Linked DNA regions of Coturnix japonica. The protein of the gene in region 1 interacts with the protein of each later gene in a pairwise test. Links are inferred from orthologs where the notes say so. Each region holds a gene or a part of one and is shown in the gene's direction. Other genes may lie near its edges.

Region 1 (3,655 bases):
CTTTTTCCTTTTCTCTTAGCCTGACAGGCAGACTCTAATGTGGAGTGCCACCTGGCCCAAAGAAGTGCGCCAGCTCGCTGAGGACTTCCTGCAGGACTACGTTCAGATCAACGTAGGGAACTTGGAGCTGAGCGCCAACCACAATATCCTGCAGATAGTGGATGTGTGCATGGAGAGTGAGAAAGACCATAAGTATGTTGGTTTTTCCTAGTGTTTATGGGTTGTTTAGGCTATATTATAAAATCAGCATTGTCGAATATGAATTCTGAATAGTGGATTTACTCTGAGGTATTGCTTAACCTTTGAATGTTACCAGGCAGAAATAAGTCCTGTATTTATCTAATCTATTGCATATGTTCTAACCGTATTTATCTAATATATTGCATATGTTCTAACCATAGTACTGTACAGAAGACCTAAATTTTGTGTAAGTGGTGCTGGCTTTATTGATCTGTATATGTGCTCAGTGCTCTTGTGTCTGTTTTAGACTGATACAGCTGATGGAAGAAATCATGGCAGAGAAGGAAAATAAGACCATCATCTTTGTGGAGACAAAGAGGCGATGTGATGATCTCACTCGAAGGATGCGCAGAGATGGGTGATTAACTCCCCTCCCCACCACCCTTTGCTTATAGTGAGAAACAGAAACCGTAATAAAAAGCAGCAAGGTTTAAACATTTGCCATGCTGTTGTTGGGAACAACCTGTCCATTTAGTTTTTGGCTGAATTCGGTCTTAATTTCCTGGAAGATTCCAGTCCATCAAAGCATTAATGGAAGAGAGAATACTTGTCAACTGTGCAGCTTTCAATATATCAGGGTACTGATGTAATGAACTGGCAGGAACAGCATCAATATAGCAAATGCGATTTGGCTTACATGGCTGCTGTATAGTTAGTGGGTTTAATATGCAAGAAACATTCTAGGCGCGTTTTAATGTGCAAGTGTAGGTTCTGGGTAGGTAAAGGCCAAAGGAAGGAGATGAGGAATAAAAATATTTCTCAGATGTTTTATTTTCTGCCTTCTTTTTGAAATGCCAGTAAAGCTTCCTGTTGCCTTTAATATATGTACTTTCTGTCTATACTAATGTACATCTCTGTTTGGCAGTTGGCCAGCTATGTGTATCCATGGAGACAAGAGTCAGCCAGAAAGAGATTGGGTGCTTAATGGTGAGTCCATCACTGAGGTGGGGGGATAATTTGGGCTGCTGTGTGTAACTTATTGAGACATGATGTTCTTAGGCTTTCTTTTGTCTTTGTACCCAGTAAATACATTTCAGAGGATGTTCCTTGACTCTACTGTTAATTTCAGTGTTTGTATTTGACAAAAATGCAGTGGGAAAATTAGCTTAACCTGGAATGCTAGATTTTGGAGAAGTAGTTGATGTGTTATTTCCTGACTCATTGGGTGTTCTGAAATTGACATATGTATTACCGAGATTCTAGAAAGTGAGCATTTAATGTAAGTCAAGTTCAGATAACTTTATCTTGTTTTGAAAAGTCTTCATAGTGTGCTTTGTTTTACAGAGTTTCGCTCTGGAAAGGCTCCTATCCTCATTGCTACCGACGTTGCATCTCGTGGGCTAGGTTTGTACACATAGACCACTCTTGCCTACTGCTGCATATTTTTCTTCTATGGCCTGAAATATGTTTTCTTGTTTTTTTTTAAAAAAAAAAAAAAAATCAAAGCGTGATTTTCCCCCACATGTGAAATACGTTTTTTAACATTAATCTTTTTTTTTTCTTTCATATTCAAAGTCTCTTCCTGCTCCTAATGAACAGGCTTTGGTCTGCAGCAAGGCCTAGGCATGACTAATCGATCGCCAAGAGGGAGAAGAGACGTCCAATTATGCAACCCAACCCTTCCACCACACTCACTTCTACCCCAAATCCAGCTTTTGTTGCTGGATTATAGGGATGGATTGCTCTGTTCAGAGCGTGCCAGATAAAGCCCAAGTAGGAAGCTGTGGGAGAGCATTTCAACAGCAAATAGCTAATATTCTCCCTGCATAGTGCACCACAGATTCAAACATACAAACCCTGACATTTACACATCTTTACCCTGCAGATGTGTTTACATCTGAGAAAGCACTGCTTTATAGATTTTTTTGATTTTTACATGTAATTTCCCTCCTCTGTGTTCCTTCTAGGCAGGATCACTGAGCTTACATACAGCCATTAACAGTGTTGCCCGATCTTGTAACTGAATCAAAATTGCACCACTTAATTCTGGTACTATGAAAATAATCTGTCTGGATGCATCAGTTGCACCCCCTTCTTAAATGAGCATTCTTGTACTGTGAAACGCTGTGCTAGGCACAGGCCTTATGCATCTGCCTGCTCTAAAAGGGGAGGATGCCTTCTGAAGTGCTGAGTTGAATAACATGCACTGAATATTCCAGCCTCCCTGAGTGGCAGAAGATAACTACTCAGGGTCAGTGTCTTGTTAAAAAAAATAATGGTGACTTTTAGACAAAGTTATTGCTCATTGTTGCATATAACATCAGAAAAGTCTCAGGTTTATTGGAAGTCACCATTATCTGAACTCTATTTTTCATATGCTGAAAGGGTGGCTGTGCTGTGCATCTTATGGTCACTTTAACACAGGCAGACCATTACTAGATGTGGCAGTCTTTATTCACACAACCTGCACCCCTCCTTCCCCTCCCCACTCAAAAAACATCCAACACTTCCTCAGAGAGGTGATTATATGGACTTCAGTCTCTGCCCTCTAGGGTCATGTCTGGACCTGTGCAGTTAGAACTTGGGCCTGTTGGGAGAAGGGACAGAGGCCTGAAACTAGTTTGTATGAAAGAGAGCTGCTTTCTCAGCAGCATTTTTTAAACAGGCTTGCTATGTGCTGGTAGCTTCTTTGTGCATCTTGCCTAGACATTTAAAACAGCTTCACCCCCTGCCCTCAAAAACACTCACTGAAAACTACTCAATTGGATAACACCTCAGAAAACAGTCTCCCCAGTTCCCATCCTCCACTTCACCTGAGCTGTGGGGGAAAGGTACCAGAGTCTGTTTCTTGTTACTGAACAACATCTCTGCTTGTTTTGGGGCCCTGAGTTTGCTGCTTCTTAAAATAAGTCACTTAACTGGCAAACTTCTGGACGACTTCCTCCAAGATCCTGGAAAGTGAAGGCTTCTACCTAAATAACATAAAACAGGGGCGCGCGCCTTTTGGCTGAGTCACCAGGGCTTTCCCTCTTCTTAATGGAACATTGGTTTCAAAAAAGCTTCTGCCAGGTAAGTTCTGAGTCCCATAATGACTTCTTTGTGATAATTCCCTGGAGTGAGGTCCTCTCTCTGCACTGATCATTTTTAATTTAGTTTTTATTTTTTTTTGTTCAGTCTATTAAACTAAAAACAATGAATTTGTTTTGTTTTGTTTTCTTTAACAGAAACTTTGATATCAGCTACAGATCATTCTCAGTGCAGGGGTGGGGGCACATCTACATTGATGGTCAAACCAGCTCTCTGGACTAGCATGTTTGCTAGTTTGTCCCTTCTGATTAATACCATAATCGGAGACTGTCCATGCCATAGGGTACTCTGATGGCCTGATGAAGGGCACGTTTCCCAAGTAGCTGTCAAAAAATGATGGGCAGTTTCAATTTTAGTTCCTGCCACATGATCTTCTGAAATTGCAGGA
Region 2 (4,189 bases), about 2.7 Mb from region 1:
GGGAGCTTACCCACATTTTCTTGAAAGCAAATTCTAAGCAGTGCCATTGGAAGCAGGGCACAAAATGAATAACCTAAAAATACAGTTTCTATTCACCTTTTGATTGATTCTTGGTCCTGCTGGGCCTAGTGGAAGGATGTCTTCCATGCAAAACCAGGTGCCTGAGATGTCCTCATGTCCATAAGATGCTGAAGTTGCTGGAGCCCAGCAGGCCGGAGCCTTTCCTACAGCTTAAGGGGCAGAGAAGGCTGTGAGCCCACAGAAGCCTGGTCAGAACCCCAGGGAGCTGACCTCATAGTGGTGCATAGCACCTCCCAGCCCCACGAGGCAGTTCTGAGGTTAAAATAACCCAACGCCTTCCTTTCCACAACTCCATGAAGAAAAAATATCCGTGGGACTTGCTGATTTCACTGACAGTTGTTATTAGACTTTTCTAATAGTCAGTAGATGTTCATGAGAGAAAGCAGTTGTGGCCACCATGGTAACGCATTGCCCTGAGCCCAGTATTCATAGAATCACAAGGTTGGAAAGGACCTATAAGATCATCTAGTCCAACCGTCCTCCCTTTACCATACCTACAGAAAACCATGAAACCATATCTCCTAGCTCTCCCTGTTCAGATGCCTCTTGAACGCTGCCAGAGATGGCGACTCCACCACCTCCCTGGGCAGCCATTCCAGTGCCTGACCACTCTCTGAGAGAAAAAATTCCTTCTTATGTCCAGTCTAAACCTCATCTGATACAACTTGTGGCCATTCCCTCGGGTCCTGTCGCCACAGGGAGGGACCCAACCTGTGTGAGGAGCAGGCACGGCATGTGTTTGATGCACACGGTGGAGGTGCTCCCATCACACCACTCATGTATTCCCTCCCTGCTCAACGTGTGGGCACAGAATGAAGAATTAAATCTGTATAATACACATGCTCCAAAATAAGCAGAACTCCATTGCTAAGCAACCAATGGCCTCATTTGGCTGCTGAAGCTGTCAGCAAAATCATCTTTACCCTGCTTCTTTCTACCATAGGATTTAAATTAAATCCATTTATTTCTCTCAGAGTCCATTAAACAGTGAAAAAGTCTCACAACAATGCAGATTTTTCAAGGCTTTATTTCCCAATCCCCACAATCCGCCGCCATCCCGGCAGCCTCCGCGCGTACCAGAACGGCAACGGGATCATAGATCTCAAAGCTGCTCTGAGAGGCACTGGGCCGCACTCGTGCTTTACGACAATCGTGCTTTACGGCGCTCGTGCTTTACAGCGGCGCGCTACTCCGTCCCGGTTCAAGATGGCGGCGCGGCAGCGGCGGGCAGCGCGGTGGTGGTAGAGGCCGCGGCGGCGGTGGGAGGGAGCTGAGCCACCCCCGCCCCGCCTTGCCCCACCGGGCCGAGTGGTGAGAGGAAAGGGATGGGGCTGGGCTGGGGGAAGGGAAAGAAAGCGGGGGGTGGAAGGCGGTTGGCGCGGCCGCCTTCTTCCTTTCCCCCAGCATCCCTCGAGGGAGGAGGGGAGGCCTTCGTGTACTTCGATGGGAGACTTTCTGCCTCGCTTCCCAGTGCTCACAAAGCACTCGTTGGGGTGCTTGATTTTCTCCTCCTCCTACAGCGATTATCTTGTGTGGACCCTCCTTTTTACCCTAAAAGAATTTGGGATCGAGGTTTGAGAACGTTATTCTCTTTGAGAAAGGCAGTGCCTCTGATTGTATTTCTGCAGTTGGCTGTAAGTTAAAGAAATGCCCGAAGGCAGGAAAGAACCCTTCATTAGAATAGTCTTTCCTTACTGATCATTGTGATGTGGCTTGAAACAGATTGAGATGGCATAAGGGCAGTGGTGTGTGATGAGAAAAAGAATGTGTACAGAGTGGTTTTTGATGGATGGGGTAGTTGGTGGTTGGTAGGGAAGAAGTCAAGGGCATCCTAGAAGTCTGGGCAAAGAAGGATATTTACGGGAAACATTTGCAATAGAGATGTTTTATGTCATTAAGTGGAAAGCTAGAAAGGCTCTTCCATGCTTATGTTATGGAGGGATACGATAACAGTTAAAATAACGCATTTTATTTTTCTAAAAGCAAGAAGCTTTCAGGTTTAAGTCTTGAGGTGAAGAACAAGCTGATTTGTTTAAAGTATGCACTTCAACTGCTTACTTGCAACTGCTTTATAAGTGATACTTAGTAAAAATAAGATGGTTTTGATGTGAATGCCCAAACTTGTATTCTGAGATCCTCCAATCCTGTATTTGAGGTTTTCTTTTGTTCGATTGTTTGTCAACCTACTACTACAAAGAGGATGAACAAGCACACGAGTCCTGCTTATGTATAGAACCTGAAATTATGGTTATCTTTTCCAGGTCTTTTTCAGTTCTTTTATTTTGAAGCAGAAGAAAAAAAGTCAAAATGGGGCGGAGATCTACATCATCCACCAAGAGTGGGAAATTCATGAATCCCACAGACCAAGCTCGTAAGTACCCATAGAAGTTAAGCAAAAGGAAATGGGGAGTCCCAGGCAAGCAGATAAAAATCTTCCTCTGAGGGGAAGATCATCACTTCTGACTGAGAACTGACTTTCCCAAACCCAAAAAGTACTGTCTCCATTTTGGCTGGTGTAGAAACTTGCCAAGAAGCTACTGGTTTGCATACCATTGCTGCTTCACACTGTTTGTCCCTTAATTCTTACTCTAATTGTCACTGGCAATTTCTAACTATAGAAACAGTTAAGTTTCTATACTTAACTGTTGGCTGTCCTGCTTCTTGAGGTGTAGGTAATCTATCTGAGGCTAGAATTTGTGGAATGGTCACATTTTGCCAAGGCTCAGGTTACTGGAGGGAGTTGTCTGACCTTGTTTTCCTTTTTGTAATGTACTGCATTTTCAGTGCTACACAGAAACAGAAAGCCCAGGCTTCTGCTGTGAGCGTGCTTTGTTTCAGATGTGTATTCAAAACCTGCATATTTTTAAAGGGCATTGTTTCTTGTTGGCACTATATCTCAGCGGCAGTCTTTTACATTGCATGCATCACTGTGCCTTTTTTTGTCTATTGTTCTTTTCTGTATAAAAACATCGCTGTTTCTAGAGGCCTAAATACTTCTGTATTGCATTTTCTTTCTATATAACACCTATGAAACAGATTTCTATTTCATGCTGTATTTGTCTATCAACAGGAAGATAAGTTTTAAAGTTTCCTTTTGTTTAATGAAATATGAAAAATGAATGAGCTGTTAAAAAATAGCACTTGTTAAAATGGAGGAAAAGTTGTTTGTGAGTTTGATCCGCTCTTTCAAATTGTTTTTTTTTTTCTCTTCTTTTTTCTTCCCTCTCTCTAGGAAAGGAAGCTCGGAAAAGGGAACTAAAAAAGGTACATAAAGAGATCTGGAGCATTTACTTGGCATTTCCTGTGCTATGTGTTATATTTGTGATTATAAAAGACCATGAGTGGTGAATAGACTACTGTTTCAGTTGATCTTGTAAAATTTAGTTAGGGATATACTGTCCAAGCAGTTAAGAAAACACAGAAATCTGGATTTGAATCAAAACGACCTTTATGTATTTGTTGGTGTGATTCATTGTGTTGCTTTTGCCTTTTGGCTTATTTTACTGATTGTGTCTTCATTGGAATGTATGAGTTATAGAAGCATCTGTAAATAGTGAGATAGTGGAATTGCAGCTCCTAGAAGTTCAAAACATCTCTGCTGCTGATTTGTGCTGTGGTTAATATCTGCAAGGCATCTGGAGATGTCTTTTTTTCCCCCCTGTAGATTGGGAGTGTTGAAAAAGAATTATTTGATACAAAGATTTTTCTTTCTCCTGTGTCTCTTTTCTGATCTCCTTGATTTTTGATCCTCTTAGAACAAAAAGCAACGAATGATGGTACGAGCGGCTGTACTGAAGATGAAAGACCCAAAGCAGATCATCCGGGACATGGAAAAATTGGATGAGATGGGTGAGTAAGGGAGGTATTGGGTGTTGGAGATAGTAGTCAAACACTGAGTAATGATTATATTAGTGACTTTTGGTCTTAACATTGCAGACTTACTGGAAATACGAACTGCAAGTGGTTTGGTTTGAAGTTGTTTCGTTAATTTTAATTGTAAAGTAGAGTAACTTTTGAGTTTTTGGCTTGCTTTTGCTGTCTTCGATTAGAGTTTAACCCAGTGCAGCAGCCACAGCTTAATGAAAAGGTGCTAAAGGATAAACGCAAA
Region 3 (2,290 bases), on another chromosome or scaffold:
TGGGGTGATCAGCCTCCCTGTGGGGGGCAACAAAGACAAGGAGAACAGCGGGGTCCTGCACGCCTTTCCGCCCTGCGACTTCTCCCAGCAGTTCCTGGACTCCACGGCCAAGGCGTTGGCCAAATCAGAGGACGACTATCTGGTCATGATCATCGTCCGTGGGGCATCTTAAAAGCCCTTGTGTGCTCTGTACCCAACCCTGCCTACTCCTCCACACAGCCCCTCCAGCGTGTGCCAGGTGCTATGGGATACAGCCTTAGCCAGCCCAGTCATGATTTTAAATTAGATCTTTGTTTGTAGGTGACTTTCTGTGCCCATTCTTTTTATTTTCTGTTACCGCATTTTTCTATAAGGTTAGAAGCCAGAAAGGTTGGTTAGCCATTAGAGTGAGTAGGATGTGTTGAGAATCCCTCATCTGTGGGGATAGCAGGGAGGCTTGGCCTGCTTTGACTTTAATGACAAAATAAATAGATAAAAAAGAAAAGGAAACAAACAAACAAACAACCCCCACAACAAAAGACTGGGGAAGGGGGTGGGTGGGGATGGGGATGGGGAGGGGGGGGAAGGGAAGAACAAACTCCCATCTTCCTCATTTTGATTCGTGTGTCCTTTTTTCATTTCATGTATTTTTGTTTTTTAAAGCGAGTTGGACAAACTCATCCTTTAAAAGAGTTCTGAACCGAAAAGACCAGATTTAAAGCACTACTAAAGGTAGTTTGAATGGAAAAAACCACATCCCTGCTTGATGCAGACTGGTGTCAGCTGTTCTTTTGGGTCGTGGGAGTTCTGTGATGGCCTCAGTCAGGCCCACATCATCCCTTTCCTCAGGAGCCTGAAGTGTTTCCCTTTGAGTCCTATGGCTCGAGGTTGACGTCCTCCAGGTGACCAGCACCTGCCCTTGGGTACACTGCAGAAAATGAGTTCCTTTCTATTGGGTGTTTGATTCATCCAGCCCCACAGAATGCATGCACTGAAAGTATGCTTTTATTTTTGGGTTGGTTTATTTTTTGTTGTTAAAAAACCAGGTGTATTTCTCCTATTTCGGTTCTGTTGTATCCCATATAATGCACTTTGGGTTTGTAGCAGTGACAATGTTTGGTAAATAGCTGAGGACTTTGTTACAAACCATGAATGTCTCGTGCTTAACTCTGGTATGCAGGAAACAAGGAGGTGCTTTAAGAATCTATTGTGGTTGGTTTTGTTTTTACTGCCTTGATCCAAGAGTTGCAGGTACAGTGGGGTCTGCTTCCACGGTGCGAACTCTGAGCGAGCGTGCTTCTCTCCAGAGATGGTTTTAATTCTGTAATAATTTAATTACCTTAAAGTTCTCATTATCTTTTATACCTCTTTGTTAATAGCAAGGAACTGCTGTCTGCTAGGGACTTTTCAGGTACAGTACAGCGGGCATTACATGAGGTTTATCATTCAATAGGCATCCGGAGGAAGGTGTTATTAGCACCTCCGGGTTGCTGAGATGGGAGGAAACAGTTTGCCTTGGTTTTCCAAAGAACTTTGCTCATTTTCTCATTCATTTTCCCTTCGTTGGGCACTTTCCTCCAGCTGTCACACCTTGTTAATGCAGCATCTATAAGAGGGCGGGAAGGCATCCAAATCCCCATTGTTTTATTTAACAGCTGGAAGGATTTTGTCTCTGGCTTCTAAGCTGAAGGGTGACTCTGTATGAATATACAGGCCCTAAAATGTAATCTTGCACTTAAAACCAGAATGTAGCCTTGCACTTAGCCACATCTTCAGAGACAGGCAATGTAAATGCAGCACTGCTTCTCTCAGTTGTCTTCCATTGGGTTCTTTGGGTGATTGGTGCGGGTTGATCAACTTACACCACACAAAAAACCCCAATTCCAAGCGTGGGGTTGGGTTGCCAGTAAGATATATGAAGGATGAGATGCATTGAATGTATTGTATGAACACAGCAGCTGTCAATGTGACATTGTGTGCTCCAGATCCGCTCTCACAGAGGTGCGTTTCTGTAGGGCTATGGAACAGCTTTCAGAGCGTGTTGGATTTCCCCTTTGTGACCTGAAGGAGCAGTGCTGCATCCCAAGCATCGCTGGGAACTGAGAACTCAGATGTGGCAGCTTATCTTGGAAGCAAAGTTTGGTTTTAGAGACATTTTTTCCTTTCTAAAAGCCTCATTTAATGCTCTTAAGTGTTTGAGGGCGAAACCCGGGCTTCCCGGATTCGTGTCCTTCAATGTGAATGTAATAGATGGCAGAAATCAGCTGTTCATCTTCCTATTAACAACGAGAATTCCTCAGAGTGACACCAA

The links.
Region 2: the proteins of DDX17 (region 1) and WBP11 interact in a two-hybrid assay, tested with the Homo sapiens proteins (3 studies listed by BioGRID and IntAct). The link is inferred for Coturnix japonica from reciprocal best matches to the Homo sapiens genes DDX17 and WBP11.
Region 3: the proteins of DDX17 (region 1) and RBM15 interact in binary tests that used the Homo sapiens proteins (3 or more experiments, as listed by UniProt). The link is inferred for Coturnix japonica from reciprocal best matches to the Homo sapiens genes DDX17 and RBM15.

What each region holds. Positions count from the first base shown.
Region 1 is NC_029516.1:46,434,359-46,438,013, forward strand, and holds part of DDX17 (probable ATP-dependent RNA helicase DDX17), read left to right. Parts: intron 1-19; coding exon 20-192; intron 193-487; coding exon 488-598; intron 599-1,105; coding exon 1,106-1,167; intron 1,168-1,524; coding exon 1,525-1,584; intron 1,585-3,655. UniProt on the Homo sapiens protein: As an RNA helicase, unwinds RNA and alters RNA structures through ATP binding and hydrolysis.
Region 2 is NC_029516.1:43,743,219-43,747,407, forward strand, and holds the start of WBP11 (WW domain-binding protein 11), read left to right. Parts: upstream 1-1,271; 5' UTR 1,272-1,392; intron 1,393-2,342; 5' UTR 2,343-2,388; coding exon 2,389-2,452; intron 2,453-3,313; coding exon 3,314-3,345; intron 3,346-3,836; coding exon 3,837-3,930; intron 3,931-4,130; coding exon 4,131-4,189. UniProt on the Homo sapiens protein: Activates pre-mRNA splicing. May inhibit PP1 phosphatase activity.
Region 3 is NC_029541.1:1,769,738-1,772,027, forward strand, and holds part of RBM15 (RNA-binding protein 15), read left to right. Parts: coding exon 1-172; 3' UTR 173-2,290. UniProt on the Homo sapiens protein: RNA-binding protein that acts as a key regulator of N6-methyladenosine (m6A) methylation of RNAs, thereby regulating different processes, such as hematopoietic cell homeostasis, alternative splicing of mRNAs and X chromosome inactivation mediated by Xist RNA.